Linked DNA regions of Elephas maximus indicus. The protein of the gene in region 1 purifies or fractionates together with the protein of each later gene. This does not show direct contact. Links are inferred from orthologs where the notes say so. Each region holds a gene or a part of one and is shown in the gene's direction. Other genes may lie near its edges. The genes, in order: RC3H1, YBX3, LARP1 and CNOT2.

Region 1 (7,798 bases):
GATAAATTTTTAAAATGCTGTTAGAGCCGTGCATAAAATGAGCCTCTTTACTGAAAGTTGTCTAGTATGTCTTCCCTAAAGGGAAGACCTAAGTCTCAGGGGGTGAGCTGAAGTTCAGACATGCTCAATGTTGGGCGGGAGATCTTTTTGAAAGGCAGGCCATTTTAGAAGCAATTTCGGGTAGGACTCAAATATTTAATTTAGCTCTTTTGGAAAAAAGTCCACAGGGATCTAACTCCAGAAATCCCAAAACTGATTTGTGCTATATCTCCCATGATTACTTTGGATTGTTACCTTGAATCTAAGGCAAACTTAGTTGGCGGATGCTGACTTGGGCCTGGTTTGGGATTGGGTGAGGAGTAAGACAATAAGGATCCCTGGTGGTACAAAGGGTTAAGTGGTTAAGCACTTGGCTGCTAACCCCAAGGTTGATGATTTGAACTTGCTGGTCCATGGGAGAAGGGGGAGAAAGACCTGGCAACCTGCTTCCATAAGGATTTTAGTTTTAGTTTTAAAGATTACAGCCAAGAAAACCCTACGAGGCAGTTCTACTCTGTCACATGGGGTCACTATGAATCAAAAATTAACTCAATGGCATCTAACAACGACAGGCCAGACACTATTGGTTCCCTTGAATTTTCTTAATGCAAGTACTTAGGACACGTTTCTCTGTTTCTTTTTTATTTTAATCAACACTGGTAATAGAAGGGTTGTAATGGTATGGACTCGGGAAAGGAGTAGAAGGTCAAGGAGAATCTACGTGTAGCAGGAGGAAAGGCTGAGGAGGATGGAGAGGACTAAACTAGTAAGGCCTCCTGACCCCTCCACCTCTACTTTATTTAAAGTAGTTCAGGAAATCCAAATGCCTTAGCTTCAGCACTCCCTATTTTGTACATGTGTGTGTTTGAGAGTGTAATTTTCTCCCCAAAACTGCCCTGAATTGAGAACTGATTGCATTCCTATGCCTCTGACTATAGGTTCGCTATGAGTTGGAATCAACTCGGCGGCAACAGGTTTGGTTTTGGTTTTGGAGTACACATCTAACATCATAGTATTTCCACCTGTCAAAAGGAAGGTTCTGTGACATTAGAATGAAGATTCCCACTATCTCTTCCTTTTAACTCTCATAAAGCTTTGTATTTTCTATGCATCAAGCTACTTTATGCTCCAGTAATTTACAGGCATTTCTTCTCGTATTTCTCCTATAGATTGTTAAATTTGTTTCAAGCAGGGACACATGCCTTATTCATCTTTGTATTTCTTGCTTCCAACTTTGCCCCACCCCCTCAAATCCCTCCTCAGTAACAGGGTCTTATCTATAAACAAGGAGTTAAGAAAAAAACTCACTGCCATCAAGTCGATTCTGACTCGTAGTCACCCTATAGGTAGATGTTATTTATCTAACTTTTCTTAGTCTCAGCGTCTTGGTGGCGCTGTGTTTAACAGCTTGGCTGCTAACAGAAGGGTTGGCAGTTCAAATCCACTAGCTGCTCTTTGGAAACTCTATGGGGCAGTTCTATTCTGTCCCATAGGACCACTATGAGTTGGAATTAACTTGATGGCAATGAGTTTTCTTAGTCTCAGTTTTATCTATTGAAATAAGTGGGTTGGTATCTAAAGTATTTTCTAGCCCTAATATGAGATGTGGAAACCCTGATGGTGTAGTGGTTAGGTGCTACGGCTGCTAGCCAAAAGGTTGGCAGTTCTAATCTGCCAGGTGCTCCTTGGAAACTCTACGGGGCAGTTCTACTCTGTCCTATAGGGTCGCTATGAATCGGAATCAATTCCACGGCAGTGGATTTTTTTAGTGGTTAATATGAGAAATAGGGGTCTGTGGGTGGCACAAACATTTAAGCGCTCAACTCTTAGCCGAAAGGTTGACAGTACAAACCCACCCAGAGGTGCCTCAGAAGACAGGCCTGGCGATCTTCTTCCAAAAGAACACAGCCATGAAAACCCTATGGAGCAGTTCTACTCTGCATGCATGGGGTCACCATGAGTTGGAATCAGCTCAACCGCAACTAACAACAGTTCAGTAAATGGTGCTTTTGGCTGACAATTACATATTCTAGACAACTGAAAATCATGTAGTAGCTTAAAAAGGTATCACGTTATTCTAAAAAAAAAAAAAAAAATCGAAGGAGGGACAATATACCCATTGCCTTCGAGTCGATTCTTACTCATAATGACCCTACATGACTGAGTAGAACTGTCCCATGGAGTTTCCAGGAAGCACCTGGTGGATTCAAACTGCTGACCTTTTGGTTTGCAGCTGTAGCACTTAACTGCTATGCAACCAGGGTTTTCAAGGGACAGTGTAGTACAGGCATATCACAAACTATATTGAAAAATTCATCAGGTATGATTTTAACTAATTCATGTGTGATCTAAAAAATAGCATTCATCTTTTTTTTAGGGTTAATGTGAAGAGCAAAAATATATTTGATGGCTTGTCATCCTTAGTTGACTGATCAAGAAAGTAAAGACTATAATGACATATCCTTAAAATGAATTTTCAGTAAACATTTATTGAATACTTACTGTGTGCTTTATATAAAATGACTCATAGTGCATCAGTGGTGGAGGCTGACGCAGAGTCTAAATCTCTAGTCATTGCACAACAGGATTGATAATAAAATGTGAAATAAAACTAAACTGTTCAAATTGTGTGAGTTACAAAACAGTGATTTCCAAGCAGAAATGACTGTAAAACATAGTTAAGCTCTTTGTCTTTTGTAACTCATTCTTAATGTGTCATCTCAGCTTAAGGTGCTCCTCAAGTACTATTCATTTCACTACATTAATACGAATTTCACTGGGTTAAAACAAATTATACAATTTTGAGAGAGAGTTTAGAAGCTTAAGTATACAAATCCTATTTGAATTTTCAACATGTCTTATTTAGTTTTAAAACCAAAATAGAGTCACTATGAGTCAGAATCAACTTGATGGCAACGGGTTTCAGGGTTAGTTTTATTTATATTAACTTTCAGCAAATCTCAACTCCCTGCAAAATGTTACTATAACAATTTTTAAAAAAGTAAATAGCAAAATGGGGGGAGGAGGGAGAGCTTAATTCATTAGCCAAAATTTTTATGCTGAGTTGTTAATTTGTTAAAATCCAGAATCTTTTTTTTTCTTGCCATTTAACCACATTATATTTTTCTAAATAGACTCAAACTCAAGGAACAAATTATTCTTTAATGTGTCTCATACTTCTAGCCTAACTGGGAAGTTCAAAACATACGCCTTCTCATAAATTTTTATTACAAACACTTAATATTTCCTTCAAAGCAGCATTTCTTCTTTTTCTTCCAAATCTTTTTGTTGAATTATATCATGAAAATGAGCTTTGGGAAGCCCCCTCCATTTTTAACTTATTTTTTAATTGAAATATTGATGAAATAACCAAAAATAATAAATTCAACTTAAAATCATATTTTATAAGGGAACTTTGAAGAGGTCTTACCAACTGTGGTACAACTATTAATAGTTCAAAGAAATTACATTATCTGGGTTGCTTATAATGGAAATTAGGTTACTTGCTTGTCTGAACAGGGAAGTTGGCATGTTTGCCTAGCAACAGCCGTTATAACCTTCTGTTGTGGAAGGTTCCCTAGGAGTGAGAAGAAGGCAGGAGGAGAAAAAGCAGGAGAAACAGATTAATCTGTTTTTCCTAGCAGGGGGCAGTGGCCTGGCTGTTTGAGGAGGGAAAGGCTAACCAAGAGAGAAAAGAAAACACGTGCTAATCTAATTCCACTGTGGTAGCTAGAAGTTTGCCTGTTTGTAGGGCAGGGGTTACTATTTAATAGGTTGAAGCGGTTATAGATTTAGCCTACTTCAAAGGGAGTGAATTCCAATCAATAAGAAAGACATCAATAGGTTTTCTAAAAAGAAGCTGAAATCTGAGTAGCAGGAGGGCGTCAACAACTAAAAAGAATTCTTCCCTAGTTTTTTTTTTTTAAGAGTTTTAGGGAGGTGTGTGATCCACGTTTTATAAATAATATAAAAAACACTATCTGTGTTATATGACTGAATTTATCAGGTTAAAGGCAGAAGCTTCGCTAAATATAGCACTTTTCTTGTTTTTGGCCATGTACACAGTGAAGAAACGACAGAAAAATAAAATCTCTGCTCTCTTGACCAAGACCTGAAAAATCGAGATGCTAAAATAACATCTTTTATCTGAAAAGAAACTTCCAATAGTCACAAGGCTAGCTTTAGATCCCACAGCTCTTCTATGTGCTAAATCTTTTTGTTCTCCCCAGATAGCCCCTTCTGTTCACAGAGGCCTGAGGAGACGTTTTGGAGAAGTGTCTGGGCTTCTGGGCTGTTTCAGCGCCTTTAGGGGACTGAATACTGTGGGCGGGGTGACTCGGGCAAAGCTGGTGTGATGGAAAACCCGGATAGAATAAAAGAAGAAAAAAATTGGGGGGAAGATGTGAGAAAGAAAAAAGTAGAGAGACAACAGCTGAGAAAGTCAAAAGGGCAGAGGTTGTGCAGGATTCGATAAAAACGTCAAAAATCTTCCAATTCCACCCCTGCCGTCTGGGCACTTGCCCACTAGGCCCAAAAGTGCCCGTGGAGGGGAGGGCAAGGCGGACGGCTGGACCAGTTCTTCAACTCTCGGCGTTTGTGCACTGCGGTTAGCGACAGCGAGCGTCGCCCGCCTCCCTTCCCAGCGTTGGTGGCGGGTGACTCAGAGGTTTCCTCCCCGTGCTCGCCCCGCCCCGCCCCTTGCCCCGCCCCCCGGAGGAGGAGCCTCGCCCTTGTCTCCGCCCGTCTCCGGGGCGGGAGGGAGCCTGAGGAAGAGGAAGGGGACGAGGACAACGAGCCACGGGGTGGAGGAGGAGGAAGAAGAGGCAGACTAACAAGATGGCCCCTGCTGCAGGAGCAGCCTCAGCAGCAGCAGGTGGGGGGCCGGAGGCGACGCTGGCGGTGGCGGCGGCGGCCGTGGCCCGGCGGCCTGGGGCAGAGTCAGAGTCGACGGTGGCAGCGGCAGCTGCTGCGGCTGCCGCGCCGGTGGCGACGGCCGCGGGGACTCGGAGCTGAGAGGAGCTGCTGCTCGGACCAGCGCGGTGAGCGAGCAAGCGGGCGGGCGGCCGCGGCGACGGAGGGAGCGGGGCGGCCGGAGCCCGGGCCTCGGTCGGGAACAATAGGCAGCCGCGGCGGGGAAGGGGCTCTCATCGCGCACTCTCTGCTCGGCGGCGGCACTGGCCGCTCGGCCGGCCCCGGGCCCCGCAGGGCTCCGCCAGCTCCGAGGGTCTCCTCAGTGGCCGGCGTCCTTTAGGCCTCAGGCCTCCGCGTGCCGCCCGGAGGGCCTGCCCCGCTGGGTAGGCCGTGGGGAGGTGCGGGCGCCGCCCTGGCCGAGGGGAGGGCGAGAGAGGCTTTGGCGAGAGGAAGGGGGCTCACAGGCTCCCCCACTCTTCGGTTACTCCGAGGGCCCAGACTGGGAAGGGAGTGCGCACAGGAAATGATTTTTGGGCCCCCTTTTCTTGGAGGGGGTGGGGGGGAGTCAAGGCGCCTGTAAACAGGCGCCGCCTCCGCCTCCCTCCATCTCAGGGCTGCTCCCTCCCCGACCCCTTAAGCGCTCCCCTCCTTGGCCAAGTGGGTTTTGCGGTGTTTGTTTCCCTGGAGCTCCTAGAGATCGAGACTGACGGTCTTCTTCCTCTCTGGTGGCGGTGGGGAAATCGTGTGTGCAGGTGTCTTTTTAAAAAATCTAAGTACAGCAACAAAAACACAAGGTAAACAGTGTAAACAGTAATTATCGGTAAGGGATGGCGTGGTGAGGGATGGTCCTCTCAAAACATCTCTTAAGCATCGGTTCTCTCTAAACATCCCTTAATCCCACGTCCCCGGTGAGAGTAGTAATATAACTGTTGACATCCCAGAATAGTCCATGGAACTGGAAACAAAGCCAGTTACTGGCAACGGAAAGACAAATTGTAGTGTTTGAATAGAACTTTTTTCCCCCCCCTTTCAAATGAGCCGTCTTGAATTAGTAATGTCCAGCATAGGAAACATTAACATAAAATGGACCTAATGAAGTTCTCCTTCAGGAGACTAGTGCTTCAGCTCCGGGCTTCTATTGCTCTGCCTTATGCTTTAATTTTGTCTTCAGTGATTTGTCCTATCAGTCTTTTTCTCTAAGTTTGAAATTTTGACTTCTAAAAAGCGCATTTTGTAAGATTTCAAAACTTTCTTATAATTTTCAAAAACTAGAAACTAAGTTCTCTCGAATATTTAGGCTTATCAGGCCACAGCTCTTCATTGTAATTGCCTTATTTATACAGTAGTGATGTCTGAAATGTCAACAGTTAACTGCTGTTTCCCCTAAACTTAATTTTTTAGGGCATCTACCACATTTCCAAGTGGGGGGGGGAGAGATTAAGGTTATTTCTATTTTAGTTTCTACCCGGGTGTGCAGAAATTTACGTTAAAATTGGTTGGATGCATCAAAGAAGATTGCTTTCCGCTAGTTAACGTTCAGTTGCACAGTCCATTTGAGGGCTTTGGTTCACGAAGGAAGATCTGTGTAGAGAGGATGCCAATTAATATCTTTCACCCGTGTTTAGGGTAAATTTATAATTTGGTTTGTATCTGTCATATCTAAAAGCATTTTCAGCTTATATGAAGTTTATAAACAGCAGCCCTATTTTAGTTCCTGGAATATGCCTGCCATAAGAATTGGCAGTAAATAGATGGCTTAATAAACTTAGAGGCTGAACTATTGTTTAGGATTTCACATAGAGTGGGATGAATTTCAATAATGGCTTTCATTTTATGCCTAGCATAAATAATGTTGTGGGTGTTTTGATTTTTTTTTTTTTTTTTGAGTGGTGAGGAAAGAACAACTTTCACATGGTTCTCACTAATATAAAATTCGGGGAAGTGTTTCAGAAAGAATACTTTTTTAACAAGTGTTCAAGTCTGTGACTTATTTTTTTCATGCTGAATTTTTCTTAGGTCAGCACAGAGTACAAGTAAAGTCTACATTGTGATGATACTAAATTTGTCTGTGGCCTTAATCCAATTAGAACAATTGCAGTAATTTAGGAGTTTGTGAATTATAAGTGATTAGTGTACTTTGTTTTGCAAAAGTATAATGTTATACCAAGGACTAATTTACCTCATTTTCCAGAAAACAAAGATTTCTTATGTTAAGATTTTATGTCTGAAATTGGACGTTCAGTTTCTCTGTTTCTGTTTAATATTGAAAAATCTCTTAGGGAATTGTTTTTAATTATTTTGTGTCAAAATTATTTTTAAGATGTGATCCCTCAAAGAAAATAAAGTCGTATCTTGCGTGTCAGTGTTTATTTTGATTACTTCAGTTCAGATTTTCTCAAATAATATTTCCAAAATTGCTTCTAAGAAGTTTTGGGACCATAGCTTAAGAACCAGATTTACATTTTGGTAGTATTAAAAGTTAAAGTATGATTCATCTGAAGAGATTGGAAGGGGGGTTTTGTACATAATAATAAAAATTACAGTTTTTCAAAGCTTATTTGTTGAATAAAGGCAGCATCTCATTTAATCCTCCTAGTTATGCTCTAACATTGTAGTATTGTGCTCACTTACATATGAAGAAGTTGAAGCTAGGAGAAGCTAAATAATTAGCCAGAAGGCCACATAATTAATAGGTAAAAGAGCTTACTCAAACCCTGTCTTGTGACACAAATTAGATGCTTTGCTGCTGTCACTGTATGTCTCAGCATTAAACTTTGAGGCATCTACTATGTTGACCGGTTACTTGTTTTGACCTTGAACTATGTTTTATAATAATTGTATTTGTTAT
Region 2 (7,566 bases), on another chromosome or scaffold:
ATGTACAACAAAAGGAAACACTGCCCAGTCCTGCACCATCCTCGTGATTGTTGTTATGCTTGAGCCCATTGTTGCAGCCACTGTGTCAATCCATCTTGTTGAGGGTCTTCCTCTTTTTCACTGACCTACTTTACCAAACATAATATCCTTCTCCAGGGACTGATCCCTCCCGATAACGTGTCCAAAGCATGTGAGATGAAGTCTTGCCATCCTCACTTCTAAGGAGCATTCCGGCTGTACTTCCTCCAAAACAGATTGTGGCTACTAGAAAATTTAAATCCACATATGTGGGTCACATTTGGGGCTCAAATTATATTTCAATTTGACAGTGATGGTCTAAATTATAAGCTCCTTGAATACAGGACCCATTCCTGTCTGGTTTTGCATGATATCCTTAGCACCCAATGTGAATGATCAACATTGTATTGAGTGCATTATTAGTGAATACCAAACAGAGTATAATAATCATGGTATCCTCTTCTCTGAACACTGCTGGAGACACCCTGAAAAACCTTTACTCTCTTATCCCTCTACTTTTTTATTGCAAGTTGACCATTCCCTTCTGTGTTGCTTTATCATCAATTAGGTTTAGATTAATATTTCATTGTTTTACAGTTTCAGATATGCTAATACATCAATGCTTCATTGCTTTAACTCTAGTCCCTTTAAAAGGTGATACGCTGGATAATCTCTTGTCAACTCGGCATCATCGTTAGACTCTTCAAAGTCAGGAACTACATTTCAGAATCTCCTTCCTTGTATGGTCCCAGGATACAATCTGCCAAATAGAAACACTTGCTCAAGATTTAGAAGACAGAGAGGAGGAGATCATTACTTTACAAAGTCAGTTACAGAAAGATGCATGGGCAGATGGAGGGAGGTTCAAAGCTATTTCCAGATAAACGTCTTGAGGAACATCCATATCTGTGCTGCCAGCTGAGATAGCTGGAGCAGGGGTGGATTTGCCTTGAAATGAATGAAGTTTAAGTTTCAGGCCTTCTCTTTGCATGGGTCCTAAAACTCTGGCAGTGGCCCCAACAATTTTATACTCATGATTTTATATTTATTTCTTAAAGGAGGCTTTCTAAATTGTGTAAGCTTTAGGTCTTACAAAACCTGGATCTAAGCATGAATAATTGGGAGTTTCCCAGAAACCCTGTGATTCCAGTGGCTTTACGAGAATTCTTGAGAACCATCAGTTTTGCTGCTAGAGTCTGAGATCTTCAGTAGAGCCTCTCTGACTTTCCTTCCCTCAAGCTAGGCAAACAGTTGTGGAAGCTCTAACCCGCCTCATACTTGGAACAGAGTAGCTTTTGTTTTCATGACCAAACCAGTCATCGCTAAAAAATGATTGCTGTCAACAACTAGATTATGATTCTTTTTTATTCCACTTAATCCCAAATTTAAGAAATGATATTTTCTTTCAATAGAAATGATGACAGTGGGGGGGGAAAAAAGACTAACATTAACATCAAAAATATCTTAGAGCAAGTTCCACCTTGATCAACATTGGCTACTCTAGCACTTTGGCACATAACCAAAAATTCAAACCCACCGGTGTCGTCACCTCTGACTCATAGTGACCCTATAGGACAGAGTAGAACTGTCTTATAGGATTCCAAGAAGTGGCTGATGGATTTGAACTATTGATCTTTGGGTTAACAGTTGAGCTCTTAAACACTACACCACCAGGGCTCCTTTGGTACATTTAATAAATATATGCTAATGAGTGCATGAATTAATGGCTGAGTGAAAGAATGGACAAAATTCTGTGTATCTGTGTCCAAGCCGATCTCTAGTTATGAGTATTATAATAACATAGATCATGTTTGTTCCAATTAATTCTCTCTAGATGTATGTAGCATGGTATCAAGAACTTCCAGCTGCTCACTGCTTTTTTTGTGTGCGTGTGAAAATGATGATAGTTATGGAAGCAACATCATGACAAATGGAGAAAAGATTGAAGTTGTCAAGGATTTCATTTTACTTGGATCCACAATCAACAGCCATGGAAGCAGCAGTCAAGAAATCAAAAGATGCATTGCATTGGGCAAACCTGCTGCAAAGGACCTCCACAAAGTGTTGAAAAGCAAGATGTCACCTTGAAGACTAGGGAGTGCCTGACCCCAACCATGGATTTTCAGTGGCATCGTATGCATGTGAAAGCTGGACAATGAATAAGAAAGACCAAAGAAGAATTGACGCCTTTGAATTGTGGTGTTGGCGAAGAATATTGAGTATACTATGGACTGCCAAAAGAACGAACAAATCTGTCTTGGAAGAAGTACAACCAGTATGCTCCTTAGAAGCAAGGATGGCGAGAGACTGTGTCTTACATACTTTGGACATGTTGTCAGGAGGGATCAATCCCTGGAGAAGGACATCATGCTTGGCATAGTACAGGGTCAGCAGAAAAGAGGAAGCCCCTCAGTGAGGTGGATTGACACAGTGGCTGCAACAATGGGCTCAAGCATAACAACAATTGCATTGATGGCGCAGAACCAGGCAGTGTTTCATTCTGTTGTGCATAGGGTCACTATGAGTCGGAACTGACTGGATGGCACCTAACAACAACAATGGAAGTCATTCGAGCACATACGCTAGGAAATCTCAGGGTGCATGGTTCTGTAATTATTTTAGGGTCTTCCAGAGATTGGAGACCTCACCTGTTAGTTATATTTTCCAAGAGTGAATATATATATTAAAACATGCTTCACTAGTGGATATGATTTGAAAAATTCAACTCCCCTTATTTTTTTTTCTCATGCAATCAAATTCTGCATGGTAAATAGCAATGATAACCACATTGTTGGATGAGAAAGCCAATAGTCAGTCTTTACCAGAAAAAAATCATGCATATTATTTAATTTTAATTATGACCATAATCCTTATTATTAGCATTAGACCAGCAGTTTCTTTTCTTTTTTTTTAAGCATTCTTATATGTATTATGTTACTTTATGCTCCACATTGGAGCCCTGGTGGTGCTGTGGTTAAGAGCTCAGCAGTTTGAATCTACCAGCTGCTCCTTGGAACCCTAGGAGGTAGTTCTACTCTGTCCTATAGGGCTGCTATGAGTCAGAATCAACTCAATGGTGCTTAACAACAAGAACATGCTCTATATTAAAGTACAACTAAAATAAGAATCTAATCCTAAGGAGTTTGGAAAATATGGATTAATTACACGGAAAAACTAAAAATTCCATATTTTGATAATTTTTTCTAAGAAATTATTTTCTTTAATTTGGATTTTTCATGGATGGAATAAGAAAGTAAGAAGATAGGGTAATTTCATAGTGATTGATAATGAATGTGTAGATAAATGAGTTTGGAAGATTTTGATAATTTTTTATTCACTCTGTTCTAGCTCTCTGCGAGGTACTGTGCTAGCCAGTGGGGATACAAAGATGAATTAGACTAGACTGCTACTCTCCTGAAGTTGGGCAGGCAGCCAGATGAACAAATAAATTTGAGGAAAAACACGTAAATGCTTCAGGAGGAACAGGGAATTAAAAAAAAAAAAAAAAAAAGAGCTAATTGAGAACTTTTCTGGACCAGACACTGGATAATCTCATTTGCTTTTCACAGTACCTCATCTCATAAAGGAGGAAACCGACTCTGAAATACTGAATACTGGCCAAGTTAATCCCCTTAATACAGAGCAACGCCAGAATTTATACCTAGGTTGGTCTTAACACTAGCGGCAGAGAACACCAACCAGTAGTCTAGTCCAGGTAGTCTTTGTATTCAAATCACACTCCCTCTGGCCCGGCCCTGTGTTTAGCACAATCCAGACCATTTTCTACAGGCCACGTGAGCTCTTTATACTGGGTTTATTACGTGTTATGTTTCTCTAAACCTTCATCCCTGAGGTTAAGCGGGAGCAGTTGCCTAAATTTTCACCAGGTGGTAGGCACCAGGGTAAATTGGAGAAGGTAAGATGCGGATTGACAATTTTTTTCCCCAAATACATTATTAAATACATATTAACAGTTCATCATTTGTTTATGTTAAATTGGTGGAAGCCCTGATACTTACGTTCTTTCTCTAAAATCTGAACTTGAGTTTTCTCACCTGTGGGCTATGGATTAAATTATCTGCAAATAACCTTCCAGGCACAAACTGCAAAATAGATTTTATTATTCCACTTCCCACAAATAGCTCCTGGTGCTTGATGAATGCTGAACAAATAAATGTAGAGAACTTAACAGGAGTGTTTGAGAGTGAAGCGCAGCGTAATTTGGAACTCCTATTTTACCTCTTACGAGTCCGTTTCAGGTGTCAAAGTGTAGTGAGGGAGAGACCAACTTTGCTCCGCTCCAGCAAAGGGACAGCAGAGCTTGTTCCTCAGGAAATTCGGATCGCATCTATAAATTTCATACTCACTCTCGCTATCCTTTGCTCTCCAACTTGGCCCCTGAGGGTGGGTTGGCGAGTTGGGAAGGGCACCATGCGCCTTTAAATGCTAATGAGAGTCAATGCCCAACTCAGGAGCCAAGTTTCCCCACCCTCTTCCCTCGCCCGCCCTTCCCTCCCAGCCTGGTGCACCGCCTAGAAAAACTTCTGCGGGGCCATTTTTGGGGCAGTAAGATCGAGCGAGGAGCCCAAGAGCGAGGGCGCAGCCCGAGAGCTCGAGCCGCCTCCGCCGCGAGACCCCACCTCGGCCGCCGCCGCCTGCGCCGCGAGATACCCACCGGCCTCACGGAGAACGAGCCCCGGCCGCCGCGACCACCAGCCGCACTAACCGCCGACCAACCGCCACCGAGGTGCCCGAGTGAGAGCAGAGGAGGCGGCATGAGCGAGGCGGGCGAGGCCACCACCACCACCAACCTCCCGCAGGCTCCAGCGGAGGCGGCCGCCGCGGCCCCCCAGGACCCCGCGCCCAAGAGCCCGGCGGGCAGCGGCGCGCCCCAGGCCGCGGCCCCGGCGCCCGCCGCCCTCGTCGCGGGAAACCCCGGTGGGGACGCGGCCCCCGCAGCCGCGGGCACCGCGGCACCCGCCTCTTCAGCCACCGCCGGCAGCGAAGACGCGGAGAAAAAAGTTCTCGGTGAGTCAGGCCGGGGAGGGTAAGGACTGCTCGCGGCAGGGCGGGCGAGCGGCTGGCTGCCAACCACGTGTGCGCAGCTCCCGCCGCCTTTCCCACTCAGGCGGTAGAGGCTGACAATCCGGGGTCCCCCGGGACCCTGGGTCCCCAGCGCCGGTGGCCACTGTCCTCCCGCTCTGCAGGCGCTCCCAGGTAAGAGCGCCGCGCCCTGCGCCGCTCGCCGTCCTGTGCGCGTCCCCTGTGGTCTTGGGCCAGTAAGTTATGGGCTTAATGTCTGTCATCCGAGCAGATACTGTCTCAGATTCCTGTAGTAGAGAATGTCCCGGTCCGAAGAGAAAAGAAGAGCAGCGGTAGGGATGCCTGTGGATGCAGGGGAGGGACAGACACGTGGACTGGGATTTAGGGGTCTAGGATTTAGGAGTCTTTGCTTGGGATCTGGGGAAGGAAAGGACTTCCTTTGGGGAGGAGTGAGGCGCTGGAAGGAGACGGAGGGAAAAGTGAAAAGACTTTTTGCTGGGAAGGCTCAGGTGTCAGTCCCTGACGCCCTTCCCGCATGGGCACAGGAAAGACGCATGGGCACAGGAAAGACGCCATACTCATGTCGGCCACATGCCGACAAAGAGGTGTTGCAATCCTCCCCGGGAAACTTGAGTGTTGGTCCCATGCCCTCCTCCCTTTCTCTGTGCCCTCTGCTGCGAAGAGCCATTAAATGTGTCCACCAATCGCTACACGTGTTCCTCTTCCTGTACTGTGGGGACGCACGTGGTCGAGCAGCTGAAAAAATTTCCTCGGAAGTGTGGGCAGAACGTTCAAAACAGCATTACCTTGGGACTTAGTAAGGGAAACAGGAAGATGAGACGGTCAGGTTTGGGGCAGAGGATTAGGAGGGGTTTCAGTGGCGGTGGTTGTTTTTGCCGCGCATTTCAGCTTTATCTCCTCCGTTTCGTTATGCCTGTGTGAGGCCTTAAACAGGCTTGCAAAGCATGTAGGTGGTGACTAAGTTCACTCTCTTTCAAGCAGGAAAGTTAACAGGTGGGTGTAGGATGCTTCAGAGAAATTTTCAGTATTTTGGGTGGGCGAAGGAGCCCTGGTGGCGCTCTGGCGCTGACTGAAAGGTGGGCCAGCTTTAGGAATCCACCAGCCGCTTCTCAGGAAAAAGATATGGACGCCTTCTTCCTCGGTAAACATCATAGCCTTGGAAACCCATGGGGTAGTTCTGCTCTGTCCTCTATGGTCACTATGAGTCGGAATTAGAGCGACTCCATGGCAATAGGTATGGTTTTGGTTTTGGGTGGGATGTGTTTGTCAGATCTCTCTCAGCCTTGCCTGCAAATTAAGAAGAAAATTGAGGGAATAATGTGAAGAAAGTGTTACACGATTCCATGTTCCCAGCTTGAGAAGCCTATTTTTTCCAGTGCTTTTACTCAGGCACTGTCAAACAACACGCTAAATGTAACCTGGGTAGATTAAGAAAACAAAATAGCCCTCTTTGTGCGGTGTTAAAGTTGCCTACATTTAGTCAATATTGTATTGTGGTATTGTTTCCAGCAAGAATTTCTTGGAATACTTCCATGCAAAATGTCACAGAGAGACAACCTTGGGTTGTTCAAAGCAATGTTAAGATATATTTCTGAATGATGCACCTCATTTTTGTATGTATAAAAGAACTTTTGCTGTTTTTCACTTGATCCTTGTTCCCTTCTGAGATAGGGGATGAAGGTATCTTTAAAGATGGAGAAAACAGGTAAAGTTAATTTCCTCAGTCACCAACCAGTACTAAGCCTCTACCAGATGTGGCCCTGGGATCTTTGGTCTTTTCATTATAACTCCAACTCTCTCAAAATGGACAACCTTGTACATGACCCTTGCACAGTTTGTCTCTGTCCAGTGTGTTCTGCCCCCACCTTTCCTTTGTCAAGCAAACACTTGCATCCCTAAGAGGTGCTAGGCATAATCCTGACTGAAATGGAAGTCTGTTCTTGGCTTCCCCCATTCTAGTTTTTACTAATGGGCCTTCACTTACAGTGAATATCACTTAGGTCAGAGAAAATTGTTCACATGAGTAAAACAAAACATCCGTTCTAATGAACATTAAAACCAATTGCTATTGAGTTGATTCTAATTCATGGCAACCCCATGTGTGTCACAGTAGAAATGTGCCTCACAGGGTTTTCAGCAGCAGATTTTTTGGAAGTAGATTGCTAGGCCTTTCTTCTGAGGTGCCTCTGGGCGTAGTCACACCTCTAAACTTTCAATTAGCAGCGGAGTGGGTTAACCATCTGCACTACCCAGGAACTCCTCTGATGAACATTATGGAAGCTTTCTGGTCTTTCCCAGCCCCTCTCCCTTTGTGTATGTGGGTTGGATTTATGGTTTTAAAGAAGCAATAAGTGTGAGTGAATGTACTTGGCCAATGAAGCCCTCGGAAATATTTATGGAATTAGGATTTTTTTTTCTTAATAATCATCCTGATTGAAGTTAGAGTTGAAAATCATTTCTCATCTTCTCCCCCCCCCCCAGTTA
Region 3 (7,145 bases), on another chromosome or scaffold:
CTTACCTTTTTCTGGCCTGAGGTCACATATTGCTTAATTACTTAAGTCCCCCCAGTTAGAGTTTACCTTTTAGAGAGACAGCATTCGACTTTTTAGTATCTTCCCCAGGCCTGAGTAGTTAATGACTTCATAAATACTTGTGGATGTGACAGTAGAGGGAAGGGAGGTAGTGTGGTGTTGTGGGTAAGAACAAGACCAGGGGAGTTAAACCGCCCTGGAAAAACCTTACTCCGATACTCAGCTGCTAGCTGTAACCAGGCACCCTTCTCACTTTCTTTTATGAACTTCAGTGGCCTTCCATTGTAACTGAAGATAATAACAGCTCCAGGGGCTGGCCTGGTGCCTGACACCTAGTAGAGGCTCAATAGATTAAAAAAAAAAAAAAAGATACTTTGCAATAATTAATGCCTATCTCATTAAGTATCTTAGTTTTTTAGTGCTGCTGTAATAGAAATACCACAAGTGGGTGGTTTTAATGAACAAAAATGTATTTTCTGGCAGTTTTAGAGGGTATAAGTCCAAATTCAGTGCACTGGATCTAGGGGAAGGCTCTCTTTCTGTTGTTCTGAGGGAACATCTTTGCCTCTTTCAGCTTCTGTTCCTTGATGATCTCCAAGTGGCATTTTCCTTTCCCCTTTTTGCCTGCTTGTGTCTACTCTGCTATTTTTATAACTCAGAAGTGATTACTTTTAGGACACACCCTACACTGATAGGGCCTTATTAACATAACAAAGAAAACCCTATTCCCAAACAGGATTACAAGCACAGTGGTCAGGATTCCAACACATATTTTTTTTTTAATTGTGCTTTAGGTGAAAGTTTACAGCTCAAGTTAGTTTCTCATACAAAAATGTATACATACATTGCTATGTGACCCTAGTTGCTATCTCTGTAATGTAACAGCACACTCCTCCTTTCCACCCCTGATTTCCTGTGTCCATTCAACCAGCTCCTATCTCTTTCTGCCTTCTCATCTCACCTCTGGACAGGAGCTACCCATTTAGTCTCATCCAACACGTATTTTTGAGGGGCACAATTTTATAACATTAGGTAACTGTGAGGATTAAATGAGATAATGAATATCAAGTATTTCTCACAGAACATGCCATATAGTAATTGTTCAATATAAGTCGTTAGTTGCCATCAAGTTTATTCTGATTCACGGCGACCACTTGCATTCCGAGAACTGTGTACGTCATAGGGTTTTCAAGGCTTTGACCTTTTGGAAGCAGATCACCAGGCCTTACTTCCAAGGCACCTATGGGTGTCTTTGAATAACCAAGTTGTCAGCTGGTAATGCAGTGCTTACCCATTTGTTAACACTCTTAATTATTTGGTCATTATTAATATTTAGAAATGAATGCACTCATGGAATGACATAATGGGCCAGGAATCAAATCACCTGAATTCAAACCCCAATTCCATCATTTTGTGTAGAACAGCTCCGTGACTTAGGATCAAGAGATTTGGGTGTAAGGCCTGGCTCTGCCACTGACTAGCTGTGTGAGCTTGGATAAGTAGCTTCATTTCTCTGAACTTCAGTCTCCTCAACTGCAAAACAAAGACATTAAGCAATCATTAAGACTCCTCCTCTAACAGCCTCTAAATTCAAGATGTAGTCTCATGTAGGTATCTTGCCTTTTCTGGGCCCAGTTTGCCCATCTGTAAAATGGCGCATCGGTGTTTAAGGGCCCCTCTCTGGGGCAAGCCTGGGGGTGTATGGATCTCTGTGCCCTTCCAGTCTCTACATAACAGGGTCTGGCAGTGCTTGTTTGGCTCCAACTCTGACTGCTGGGTAGCATGAACCAGTTACTTGTCCACACAGAGACCTGGCCCCCTTACAAGTTGTTTGGGGGCCATCCATGACCAACTACAGAAATGTTGGAAGAAAGAGCCAACAACGATGACTATGTTCCTTTTTACAAAGTTCAGAGAGGTTTTGAGTGAATAATTTTTTTCAGGAAATATTTATCAATAAATAAGGGTAGGGAAACTCTGGTGGAGTAGTGGTTAAGTGCTACGGCTGCTAACCAAAAGGAAGGCAGTTCAAATCCACCAGGCCTCCTTGGAAACTCTATGGGGCAGTTCTACTCTGTCCTATAGGGTCGCTATGAGTTGGAATCGACTCGATGGCACTGGGTTTGTTTTTTTTTTTTGTTTATTAAGGGTAGACTATGAGTCGGAATCGACTTGACAGCAGTGGGTGGTGGAAGGATTAAGGGTAGATATAACACAATTTTGAAGAATGTGCTTAGATTGTGATCCCTTTAATCCTTACCTTCCTTGGTACCTCTTTTTGAAGCATTTCATTTGCTTCCTCAAAAAAGCCCACAGGGTGAGAACAAATCAGGCATTATGTATTACAATTTTTACGCCAGGAAAGGGGGCTCCAGGCAAATGTACAGAGCAAGTGAAGGCAGGTGCTAAGTTATGGGAGAGCTTGGCTATCCCCACCAGCACTTCTCCCCAGTACTCCTGGTTACAATGTACAACCGAGACTTCCCAGGTGGAGCAGTTACAAGAGTCTTCTCTGATAAATCCTCTCCCCTGTCCAGCAGGTCATGTGTTCTTATTTTGGAGATCAACATTCCTGGCTTTTATGTCTTAAGTAGGTAGATCTCAGCTCTGTTAAACCTGGACCACCCTCAGAATGCACAGGACACAACTTCTCCAAGTGAGGCATGGGACCACCTGGTGTAGAAGTTCTAAGGGTATTATGTTAGACAAACAGATTTCTGGGTTCAATTCCAGACCATGCCTGATTTTTCTAAACACTTTGGAACCTGTGTTCAGGGAGGTGTTCCCTCATCAAACTAGAAGGACAAATCTGTTCTAGCCTATTACTACAGTTTATGCATTAATTCTACACAGGAACTTGTTTATCATTTTTGTCTTTCCCCACGTTTAGAATGTAAATTGCTCCATGAGGCCAGGGACCTTGTTAGCCTGGTTTATTACCAAACCCTGTTTCCTAGCACTGTAGAGACACCCAGAGCACGGAGTGAATAAATATTAACTGAATTGAATATACACTAAAGCATGAAACCACTGTCATAGACCATTTCTTCATTTTACAATAGGGAAACTGAGGCCTACGGTGGGGGAAACTGACTGGCAGAGTTCATAAGAGGCAAGACCAGGACAAAATTTCAATCCCTAGAGTCTCGAATCGGCACTAGTTCAACTCCTCCCAAAGCAACTATGTAGAAACCACAATCCACTAGAAAGAAAAGCTGTTTCCTGCTCACAAATACTCAGAGGCTTGACTGGAGTGAGGACCTTGGTAATTCCACTCCCACATCCTAGGCACCCGAAGCGCCCAAGGGCAAGGGCCCGCCTGCCGGGCCTGGAGTCGAACCCGGTCCCCCGGCAACGTCCGGGTCAGCCTGGAGGGGAGAAACCCAGCGCAGCCGGTGGAGTTGAAAGCGGTTTGCCCAAGGTCACCCATGCGGGGCCTGGAAAGGCCAGGATAGAGGGATGCGGAGAGGGGGCGGTGTAGGCGCGACTTTTGGGAGGATGCGGACCCTCTACCAGCATCCTGGGAGGCGGGGGTGACTTTTATGGCTCCTTCCCCCGAATCTGACACCCAACCTAAAGAACGAGAGCAGGCCGAGCCGGCCGCGTGGCCCATTCGCATGTGCTCCACCTGCGGCCTCTCTCACGCGCTGGCCCTTTAAGAGTCCTCCGTGTTCTCTCCCCCGTCTCTCCTACCCCCCCTGGATGCGCCCCCCTCTACCGAATTGCATCAGGCACGTGCTCGCCCCCGTCCTGTCTGAGCGCCCCCACCCCAGCCAGGGAGGTGCACGGAGGACTTGGAGGCGAGGGGCGGGGCAGGACGAGGGGCGGGGACGCGAGGCCGTTCGCGCGCGCGCTCCCGTCGCCTCCGCCGGCCCGTCGCCAAGGGCTGGCCTCGGCGGGCGCGCTCCCGCTGCGTTGTCCCCTCCCCTCGCCCGCCGCGCCGCGAGGCGCGCGCCCGCCCGCCGCCTGCCGCGGATCGCGTGGTCTGCTTGGCTCGCCGCGCCTCTCCCCCGTCCGTCCATATTGCTGCAGCCCCCGAGCCGGGAAGCCCGGGCCGCCCCGGGGGCGGGGGGGAGGGAGGGACGGGACGAGAAGCCCGCTGAGCTTGGGGTGGGGGCGCCTTACGAGGAACGGGCGGGGGGGGGACGTGCGCCGAGGCGGCCTGGACCGCAGAGTGGGGGGCACTCCTTCCCCCACCCCCCCCGCCCCGCCAGCGGGCCTTGGATCTACGGCGGCCGCATCCGACCGGAAGGGGGGGCCGCGCCTAGCGTGAACCCCGACCCTTTTCTGCAGGGACTGGGGCCCAGCGCCCCGGAGGAAGGAGTCGCGGGCGTTCTGCGAGCCAAGTTCGAGGCGGGGGAGGCAGCCTCGGGCGCGCCCGGCTTCTCCGGGGGGGCGGGCGCGCAGATGGCCACTCAGGTGGAGCCGCTGTTGCCGGGGGGCGCCCAGCTCTTGCAGGCCGAAGAGCACGGGGGGCTGGTGAGGAAGAAGCTGCCGCCGCCGCCCGAGGGCAAGGGCGAGCCTGGCGCCAACGACGTCGGAGTGGGGGAGCCGGACGGAGGCACCCGGAGACCCCGGCCGCCCTGCGCCAAGCCGTACAAGGAGGGCACCGGGCAGCAGGAGCGCGAGAATCTGCGGCCGCTGCAGCCGCTAGGCGCCGAAGGCCCGGCCGTCAGCGACGGGGAGGAGGGCGGCGGCGGCGAGCCGGGCGCTGGCGGAGGAGCAACCGGAGCCGCGGGCGGCGGCGGACGGCGAGACTTCGTGGAGGCCCCCCCGCCCAAGGTGAACCCGTGGACTAAGAACGCGCTGCCGCAGGCCCTGGCCACGGTGAACGGACAGTCCCCTCCAGGTGGGTCTCCCAGCCTGCTATTCTGGGTCCGGGGGCCTCTTCCGGGGACATTGGCGTCCCCTCCCCCAGCGGTTTCCAGGGCCCGGGGGTCCGCCACGAGTCGTGGTGCCTCGTTTTTTTTTATTTGAATTGTCTCACGCCTCGTTCGGGTCGTGGTGCCCTGCTCCCGCCGCACACTCGGGAACCTGTTCCTGCCTGAGGCCCGGCCTCCCGGAGGCCACGGACACCGCCTGGGCCGCAGCGGTTAGTGGGCAACGGCGTGGTCCGGGCCTACCTCACCGGGAGAGGGTGGGCGCTGGCTTCGGTGAAAATGGCCCTGTTTTCCCCATCGCATGTTGGTGTAAAAGGCGGTTTCTGGTTTAAACCTCCCTTACTCGGGAAGCCCCCTCTTCTCACTCCGCCCCACGCTCCCCGTTTTGGTAGCGTTGCAATAGTCCCCATGTTGTAAATGTTTAATGAGCATATGTCATGGGCAGCAAAGCACTCAGCGATGAGTTCACACCGAGTATAGGGATTCGAGATTTAAAAGTTAACAAGTTTTGTTTTCGAGTAGATGATAGTAGGCGGTAGAACCGCCATTTGGAGACGGGTTGAGGGGTCAGTTACAGGGAGAATGGGGCGACGAGGAAACCCAACGTGTCACTGACTTCGGTAGTTTCCCTCTCGGATCCCAGGGGCCTTCCGCCTTGAGAGGGAGCCGATGGCAAATGCGGGGGGATCCGTTTAGGGGGTTGGCGGAAAATGTGAGACGAGTGAGGGGCACGCGGCGACACGAGGGGCTTGCGGCGGCGGGGGAGGGAGTGGCCGGGCTGGGCGGGCGGGTGACAGTTGGGCGCCATGCGCCTCGCCCGCGACTCGCGGGCTGCTTGCGGCCGCACGGCCTCTGCGTTCCGCGCGGGTCGTCGCGCTCCGGGTGACTGGCGGGTGCGGGCCGCCGGCGCGGCGCGTCCTGTAGTGTGCGTGTGCGCGAGTGTAAGTGCGCGTCTCCCCCTTCCCGGCATTCCTCCGCAGCCGGGACAACGTGGTGCCTCCCCGCGCGGGGAGCGGCATGTGACCGGCGGCCGGCGCTCCCGGAGCTGGGGCCCCGAAGCTGGGGCCCCGGGCGCACCCCGAGTCTATCCTTCCACCTCCCTTTTATTTTTTTCTTTTTGGACACTGTCCTTTCAGAGGAGTGTGCAGGAAATCCCAGCAGAGCCTCGTCAGCGTGAGGAGAGAAGCGGTGCAGAATATGGAGCTTGCTTTTGGCCTCCTTTTACCGGGAATAGATCTTCAGCTTGAATGGGGCGCACTTCCCGTCCCCGCTTTGCTGGGACTCGGGGGGCACAGTGGGCCTCGATTCTTTAATTCTGGGCCCTTTTGATGTGGGCCAGTGTTAATACCTTGTTTGCAGTTAGAATGATGGCCTGTGGCCTTAGCCCTAGTGTTCTTTCAAAACTCCGTTTCAGAGTGCTGGCTGAGGCAGTATGGTTTAGAAGATCAAAACGGGGAAAGTTGAAGGGGGAGCTTTATGCCTTCATATCAAAGGGAGTAAGATCACTCCTTTAGTCTTAGGGAAATTATGATAACCAAACCTGAAAATGGCATGTTGCAATTTTTATTTTTTTCAAGGTTGCTTCATTTAGGGGAGGGGACATTTAGGGTTTACTAATAATGCCTCAAACCATGTTCTCTTCCTTTTGCCCTCCTCCTCTTCCCCCATGCCCCTTCTAGAACCCTCTTATGCAAAGGGCAGTGCTGAAACCTCCATTTTCTTACAAATCCTTCCCTGATCCACCCACAGAGGGAGGGAGAGCAACTTTAAGACACTCTTTGGTCCCTCCCCGCGCCCCCCCCCCCACCTTAAACTCAAAGGGGTATAATCATCCCCAGGAGAGAGAGCACTCTTCAGAAGTTTAAATTGGGCTTCTCACCTCGGGCTGCTGCTTAGCTAATGGTGAATCTGCCTTGTGGCTTTTAAATCAGCCGTGATATAAGGTGGTATTGAGTGCCTGAGCTGGCATTTTGTGTAAGTCCAGGGGCCCTTGATAGGTCACTGGGATTATTGATTGTGGGAAGAAGACAACTTGGTTGGCATCTTGCTTTCCCCTCTGAGTGGAAGAGCAGACTTGTTTGAAGTACCCAGAGCACAGTTCTGAGTGGGGTAGATTTGCCGTGTTCTTGTCTTCCTGGAACTTTAAGGCAAGAGTGTTGATCTTGTACCTTTGGGGTAGTGTTTGACAGATTAACTCCAAATTAATCCAGTAGCCTCTCTGTTTTAAGCCTGTTGTTAGGGCTTGGG
Region 4 (7,894 bases), on another chromosome or scaffold:
AAGGCCGTATTTTCCAGCTACCAGTCTGTCTGCTTTGGTTCTAACTTTCGCATTCCAATCACCAGTAATTATCAATACATCCTGATTGTGTGTTCGATCAATTTCAGGCTGCAGATGTTGGTAAAAATCTTCAATTTCTTCATCTTTGGCCTCAGTGGTTGGTGCCTAAATTTGAAAAATAGTCATATTAACTGGTCTTTTCTTGTAGGTGTATGGATATTATCCTGTCACTAACAGCGTTGTACTTCAGGATAGATCTTGAAATGTTCTTTTTGTGTGTGTGTGTGCTTTAAGTGATAGTTTATGATTCAAGTCAGTTTCTCATACAAAAACATATACACACATTTTTATGTGACCCTAGTTGCTCTCCCTGCAATGTCATAGCACATTCCTCCTCTCCACCCTGTATTTCCTGTGTCCCCTTCTGCCATCTCATCTTGCCTCAGGACAGGAGCTGCCTATTTAGTCTCATGTATCTACTTGAGCCAAGAAGCACACTCTTCACCATATCATTTTATATCTTATAGTCCAGTCTAATCTTTGTCTGAAGAGTTGGCTTCGGGAGTGGTTTTAGTTCTGGGCTACCGGAAGGTCTGGGGGCCATGTCTTCTAGGGTCCCTCTAGTCTCAGTCAGACCATCAAGTCTGGTCTTTTTACTAGAATTTGAGTTCCGCACTGCACTTTTCTCCTGCTCCTTCAGAGACTTGCTGTTGTGTTCCCTGTCACGGCAGTCATCGCTTGTAGCCGGCACTGTCTAGTTCTTCTGGTCTCAGGCTGATGGAGTCTCTGGTTTATGTGACCCTTTCTGTCTCTTGGGCTCATATTTTCCTTATGTCTTTGACGTTCTTCATTCTCCTTTGCTCCAGGTGGGTTGAGACCAGTCGTTGAATCTTAGATGGCTGCTTGCTTGGCTCACTACCTTTTTAGACCCCAGATGCCACTCACCAAAGTGAGATGCAGAATATTTTCTTAATAAATTTTGTTATGCCAGTTGGCCTAAATGTCCCCTGAAACCATGGTCCCCAGCTGCATGGTTCACCCCTGCTACTCTGTCCCTTGAAGTGTTTGATCGTAATCAAGAAACTTACTAGCTTTTGGTGTAATGTGGTTGTGCTGACTTCCCCTGTATTGTGTGTTGTCCTTCCCTTCACCAAAAATAATTCTTGTGTACTGTCTAGTTAGTGATTACCCCTCTCCCTCCCTCCCCACCCTCATAATGATCAAAGAATGTGTTACTGTTTAAACCTTTTCTTGAGTTCTTATAATAGTGGCTTCATACAGTATTTGTTCCTTTTGTGACTAATTTTAGTCAGCAAAATGTCTTCCAGATTCATGTATGTTTTGAGATGTTTCGAGGATTCACTGTTGTTCTTTATCATTGCATAGTATTCCATTGTGTGAATATACCATAATTTGTTTATCCATTTACCCGTTAATGGGCACCTACATTGTTTCCATCTTTTTGCTACTGTGAACAGTGTTGCAGTGAACATGGGTGTGCATGTTTCTATTGATGTGATGGCTCTTACTTCTCTAGGATATATTCCAAGGCATGGGATTGCTGGATCTTATGTTATTTCTGTTTCTGGCTTTTTAAGGAAGCACCACATTGATTTCCAACATGGTTGTACCATTTTACATTCCCACCATCGTGTGTAAGTGTTCCAGCCTCTCCACAGCCTCTCCAACATATATTATTTTGTGTTTTTTACATTAATGCTAGCCTTATTGGGGTGAGATGGAATCTCATTGTAGTTTTGATTTGCATTTCTCTAATGGCTAATGGGACACCCTGGTAGCATAGTGGTTAAGTGCTACAGCTGCTAACCAAAGGGTCAGCAGTTTGAATCTGCCAGGCGCTCCTTGGAAACTCTATGGGGCAGTTCTCTGTCCTATAGGGTCGCTATGAGTCGGAATCGACTCGATGGCACTGAGCTTGGTTTTTTTGTTTGGAATGGCTAATGATTGTGAGCATTTCCTCATGTATCTCTTAGCCACCTCGGTATCTTCTTTGGTGAAGTTCCTGTTCATATCCTTTGCCCATTTTTTAATTGGGTTATTTGTCTTTGTTGTTGAGGTTTTGCAGTATCTTGTAGATGTTAGACATTAGACACTGATCAGATTTGTCATAGCCAAAAATTTCCCAGGCTATAGGTTGTCTTTTTACTCTTTTGGTGAAGTCTTTGGATAAACGTTAAGTGTTTGATTTTTAGGAGCTCCCACTTATCTAGTTTCTCTTCTGGTGTTTGTGCATTGTTACTAATGTTTTGTATTCTGTTTTATGCCATGTATTAGGGCTCCTAGTGTTGCCCTATTTTTCTTCCATGATTTCTATCGTTTTAGATTTTATATTTAGGTCTGTGATCCATTTTGAGTTAGGTTTTGTGCATGGTGTGGGGTATGGGTCTTATTTCGTTTTTTTGCAGATGGATATCCAGTTATGCCAGCACCATTTGCTAAAGAGACTGTCTTTTCCCTGGTTAACAAACTTTGGGCCTTTTTTAAATACCAGCTGCTTGAAATGTTCACTTTGATGATGAATGCAATGCCATTCCTCTTCAAGTTGTGGTTCCAAGCACAGGAGACCGTATGATCATCTGATTAAAAATGGCCAACACCAGTCCATTTCAGTTGACCATTGGCTAGGATATCAGTGTTTATTCATTCCATTTCATTTTTGATGACTTCCAGTTTTCCTAGATCCATACTTTGTACATTCCACATTCTAATTATTAATGGATGTTTGCAGCTGTTTTCTTCTCAATTTGAGTCGTGCCACATCAGCAAATGAAGATCCTGAAAGCTTGGCTCCATCCACATCATTAAGGTCAACTCTACTTTGAGGAGGCAGCTCTTCCCCAGTCATACTTTGAGTGCCTTCCAACCTGAGGGGCACATCTTCCAGCAGTATATCAGACAGTGTTCCACTGCTATTCATAAGGTTTTCACTGGCTAAACCTTTTCAGAAGTAGACCGCCAGGCCTTTCTTTCTAACCTTAGTCTGGAAGCTCGCCTGAAACCTGTCTGCCATGGGTGACCCTGCTGGTATTTGAATACTAGTGGCATAGCTTCCAGAGTCACAGCAACATGCCAGCCCCCACAGTATGACAAACTGGCAGACACTTCTCATATGTACCAAGGAGTGATTAACTCAGAACATTTTTTAAATCATTTTATTCTGGTAAAAATACATGTAAACAAATATTTGCCTATTCAGCATTTTTATATGTACAATTCAGTGACATTGCTTAGGTTCATAACTTAGAGCATTGTGAAAACATTCGTCTGTGTTATCAAACCAGAAATTAGTTCATAAGGGCAAGGAAGTGTTTTTGTGGCTGTGATTCATTTACTAATCAGAAAAGGTTGATTGACATAGTTAGGGAATCTAAAAAACCTTTGAATTTTAAGGGTAAGAGCACAGTGTGTTTACTTCAGCTTACTCTAGAGTTCCATTGAAATTGGCCACATCTGGTAGTCTGTTCTAATTAATAGCCAGCCTGGTATATAAAATTCTCTATATCAAAAAAGAATGGTGACGCAGTGGTCGAAAGCTCGGCTGCTAACCCAAAGGTCAGCAGTTCGAATCCAGCAGGCACTCCTTGGAAACCCTATGGTGTAGTTCTACTCTGTCCTATAGGGTCACTATGAGTCAGAATTGACTTGATGGCAGTGGGTTTGCTTTTTTTTCGGAGTTTATTTCAGAAAAAGAAAACTCGTCCAGCTGGTTCAACAATCATAACTTGACCAAATTCCTCACGTTTTAGCTCAAAGTTGAGTATGGTAATGACTACCATGTTTTACTTATTTCAGATAGCGTTAAAAGAAAACCCATTGATGTCAAGTTGATTCCAACTCATACTGACCTGTAAGACAGTAGAACTAGGGTTTCCGAGGTGTAATCTTTACAAAAGCAGGCTGCCATATCTTTCTCCCATGGAGCAAGCCGTTGATCTTTTGGTTTAGCAGCAGAGTACTTAATCACTGTGCCACTGGGGCTCCTTTCAGATACCATTAAACCAAAACCAAACGAGTTGCTGTCAGGTCGGTTCCAACTCATAGTGACCCTATAAGACAGAGAAGAACTGCCGCATAGGGTTTCGAAGGAGCAACTGGTGAATTCACACTGCAGAAGTTTTGGTTAGCAGCTGAGCTCTTAACCACTGTGCCACGAGGGCAACCGTAAAATGTTGGGGTATTTTTTGTATACTATTGAATAGTGCAGTGGGAAGAAAAAAAGACAACATAGAAAAGGACATCTGTAATTGTCCACTTTCCTGTGAGCATTGCCTTGACACCGAACATTGAAAATAGACAATTTTGGAGTTGGATGTGTTTTCTAAATTCATTTGGATCAACCACCTTATTTTACACATTAGGAAACTAAGACTAGAAAGGAGAAATTGATCAAGCTAATACTTCAACTCAGACTTCCTGATTCTTGTTCCATTAGCATATTTTATTTGGTGACATGAAATTTAAAAGAATAAACTTTAATAAGTATTTCCCCTCTCCAATAAAGTATTTTCTAGAAATTTTACTCAAAATATATTGATTTCCTGTTTTGAGAAATTCTTTTTTTTAATTATTTTCTGAAAGAAGTTGGGGTTCAGTTAATATTCATTAATCCAAGTACTGTTTATTGCATGCAACATTTTTATTAGGCTCTGATTTAGAGAAACTTAGAGACATATAAGTTTGTTTCTTTCCATTAATTAACATTTGGTTTATGTATTTCTTTTAATTAGATTCTTGTTGGTCTTTTTAAAAAATATAAATTTAGATTTAGTGTCTCATTTTCTCACCTCTCCTTTGGAATCCATTTGGTTGATAATCTTCCTTTTCCTTTAACTATGATATTCTTCAAATGGTGTGTTTTGTTTTTTAATTAATAGACTGTTTTTTAGAGTGGTTTGTTTACAGAAAAATGGAATTGAAGGTAGAGTTCCTGTATACTTCTTCTTACCTTACCTACCATTTTTGCTGTTATTCACATCTGCGTTGGTGGGCTGTATTTGTTGCAGGTGATAACCAATATTGATACATTATTATTAAATAAGACATTATCTATGTTTTATTCATTATGCAAAGGCATTTGACTGTGTGGATCATAAAGAATTGTGGATAACATTATGAAGAATGGGAATTCCAGAACACTTAATTGTGCTCATGAGGAACCTGTACGTAGACCAAGAGGCACTCATTCAAACAGAACAGGGGATGCTCTGCGTGGTTTTAAATCAGGAAAGGTGCGTATGAGGGTTGTATCCTTTTATCATACTTATGTAATCTCTATGCTGAGCAAATAATCCCAGAATATGGACTATACAAAGAATGCTGTATCAGGATTGGAGGAAGAGTCATTAACCTGCGATATGCGGATGACGCAACCTTGCTTGCCGAAAACGAAGAGGACTCAAAACACTAACTGGTGAAGATCCAAGACTGCAGCCTTCAGTATGGATTACATGTCAACATAAAGAAAACAAAAATCCTCACAACTGGACCAATAGGCAAGATCATGATAAACAGAGAAAAGATTGAATCCTCAAAGATTTCCTTTCAAGTTCTCAAGGATTTCGTTTTACTTGGATCCACAATCATTGTCCCAGGAAGCAGAAGTCAAGAAATCAAACTATGCGTTGCAGTGGGCAGATCTGCTGCAAAAGACCTCTTTAAAGTGTTCAAAAGCAAAGATGTCACTTTGAGGACTGAGGTGTGACTGACCCAAGCCATTGTATTTTCGGTTGCCTCATGTGCACGTGAAAGATGGACAATGAATAAGGAAGACTGAAGAAGAATTGATTCCTTTAAATTATGGTGCTGGCAAAGATGATTGAATATATACCATGGACTACCAGAAGAACAATCTGTTTTGGAGGAAGTACAACCAGAATGCTCCTTAGAAGTCAGGTTGGCGAGACTTCGTCTCACGTACTTTGGACATACTATCAGGAGGAACCAGTCCCTGGAGAAAGGACATCATGCTTGATAAAGCAGAGGTCAGAAAAAAAGAGGAAGACCCTCAAGGAGATGGATTGACTCAGTGGCTGCAACAGTGCGCTCAAGCATAGCAAAGATTATGAGGCTGGTGCAGGATCAGACAGTGTTTCATTCTGTTGTACATGTGGTCATTATGAGTCAGAACTGACTTGAGGGCACTTATCAACAACAACAACATTATTAAAACCCATAGTTTACATTAAGGTTCACTCTTTGTGTTGAACAGTTCTGTGGGTTTTGACAAATGCATAATGCTATGTATCCACCATTACAGTATTATACAGAATAATTTCACTGCCCCAGAAATTCCCTGTGCTCCACCTATTCACTCTCCCCATCCGCTACCACTTTCTGAATTGGAGGCATCCACTGATCTTTTTATTGTCTCTGTATATTTTTGCCTTTTTTAGAATGTCATATAGTTGGAATTTTACAGTATGTAGCTTTTCATACTGGCTTGTTTCACTTAGCATTAAGCATTTAAGATTCCTTTTTCCTGACCAGGTTAGCTCATTTCTTTTTGTTGCTGAATAATACTCCGTTGTGTGGGTGTACCATAGTTTGTTTTACCATTCGATTATAGTAAAGCTGCTATAAACATTCTTGTGCAGTTTTGTGTGGACTTAAGTTTTCCGTTTATTTGGAAAAATACCTAAGAGCATGATTGCTGGATCATATGTTAAGTCTGTGTTTAGCATTATAAGAAACTACCCAAACTGTCTTTCAAAGTGACTGCCAACTTGCATTCCCACCATTGATAAATGGGAGTTTCTGCTGCTTCACATTCTCTCCAGCATTTGGTATTGTCAGTTTTGGGGTGGTGCAGTGGTTAACGTGCTCAGCTGCTAACTGAAAGTTTGGCACATTGAACCCTCCAGCAGCTCCACAGGAGAAAAATGTGGCAGTTTGCTGCTTTAAGGATTACAGCCTTGAAACCGTATGGGGAAGTTCTACTCTGTCCTATAGAATCACCATGAATTGGAATCGAGTGGACTGCATCTACTTTTGTTGCTTTTTTAAATAGATGTAGTGGCATCACATTTTTATTTTAAAGTACAATTCCTTAATGATACATGATTTGAATACTTTTTCTATGCTTTTTTGCCATCTGTGTATCTTCCTTGGTGAGGTGTCCACATCTTTTGCTCACTTTCTAATTGGCTTGTTTGTTTTCTTAATGTTCAGTTTTAAGACTTCTTTGCATATCTTGAATACAAGTCCTTAATCAGATACGTGTTTTGCCAACATTTTCTCCCAGTCTGTGACTTACCTTTTCATTCTCTTAGCAGTCTTTTGCAGAGCAGAAGTTTTTAATTTTAATGAAGTCCAATTTAGCTTCTTTTTTTCTTGCATTGTGCTTTTGGTATTGTATCTAAAAACTCATTGCTAAATTCAAGATCACTTAGATTTTCTCCTATGCTATCTTATAGAAATTTCATAGTTTCATATTTTACATTTAGGTCTGTGATCTAGATTCACTTTTTTGCACGTAGATGTCCAGTTGTTCCAGCATCATTTGTTCAAAAGACTCTTTATTGTACTGCCCCTGCTTTTTTGGCAAAGATCAGTTGACTATATTTGCATGAGTCTATTTCAGAGCTCTCTATTCTGTTCCACTGATTTGTATGTTTATTCCTTCACCAGTGTCTTCATCACTATAGCTTTATAGTAATTTTTGAAGTCTGATGGTGTCAATCCTCCAGCTCCGTTCTTCTTCTTATGTTGGTTTTTCTTGATCTTTTGCCTTTCCATATAAACTTTAGAACCATTTTGTCATTATCTGCACAATAACTTGCTGTGGTTTTGATTGGGATTGCATTTCATCTATAGGTCAAATTGGGAAGAATTGACATCTTAATAAGTCTCTGTATCCATGAACAAGGTCCCTCCC

The links.
Region 2: the proteins of RC3H1 (region 1) and YBX3 purify together in Homo sapiens (affinity purification with mass spectrometry, with the first as the bait; 3 studies listed by BioGRID). This does not show direct contact. The link is inferred for Elephas maximus indicus from reciprocal best matches to the Homo sapiens genes RC3H1 and YBX3.
Region 3: the proteins of RC3H1 (region 1) and LARP1 purify together in Homo sapiens (affinity purification with mass spectrometry, with the first as the bait; 3 studies listed by BioGRID). This does not show direct contact. The link is inferred for Elephas maximus indicus from reciprocal best matches to the Homo sapiens genes RC3H1 and LARP1.
Region 4: the proteins of RC3H1 (region 1) and CNOT2 purify together in Homo sapiens (affinity purification with mass spectrometry, with the first as the bait; 3 studies listed by BioGRID). This does not show direct contact. The link is inferred for Elephas maximus indicus from reciprocal best matches to the Homo sapiens genes RC3H1 and CNOT2.

The regions. Positions count from the first base shown.
Region 1 is NC_064842.1:36,575,128-36,582,925, reverse strand, and holds the start of RC3H1 (roquin-1), read left to right. Parts: upstream 1-4,781; 5' UTR 4,782-5,078; intron 5,079-7,798. UniProt on the Homo sapiens protein: Post-transcriptional repressor of mRNAs containing a conserved stem loop motif, called constitutive decay element (CDE), which is often located in the 3'-UTR, as in HMGXB3, ICOS, IER3, NFKBID, NFKBIZ, PPP1R10, TNF, TNFRSF4 and in many more mRNAs.
Region 2 is NC_064822.1:69,463,491-69,471,056, reverse strand, and holds the start of YBX3 (Y-box-binding protein 3), read left to right. Parts: upstream 1-4,555; 5' UTR 4,556-4,793; coding exon 4,794-5,046; intron 5,047-7,566. UniProt on the Homo sapiens protein: Binds to the GM-CSF promoter. Seems to act as a repressor. Also binds to full-length mRNA and to short RNA sequences containing the consensus site 5'-UCCAUCA-3'. May have a role in translation repression.
Region 3 is NC_064820.1:170,908,093-170,915,237, forward strand, and holds the start of LARP1 (la-related protein 1), read left to right. Parts: upstream 1-4,139; 5' UTR 4,140-4,425; coding exon 4,426-4,867; intron 4,868-7,145. UniProt on the Homo sapiens protein: RNA-binding protein that regulates the translation of specific target mRNA species downstream of the mTORC1 complex, in function of growth signals and nutrient availability.
Region 4 is NC_064822.1:131,515,356-131,523,249, forward strand, and holds the start of CNOT2 (CCR4-NOT transcription complex subunit 2), read left to right. Parts: upstream 1-4,879; 5' UTR 4,880-5,139; coding exon 5,140-5,249; intron 5,250-7,894. UniProt on the Homo sapiens protein: Component of the CCR4-NOT complex which is one of the major cellular mRNA deadenylases and is linked to various cellular processes including bulk mRNA degradation, miRNA-mediated repression, translational repression during translational initiation and general transcription regulation.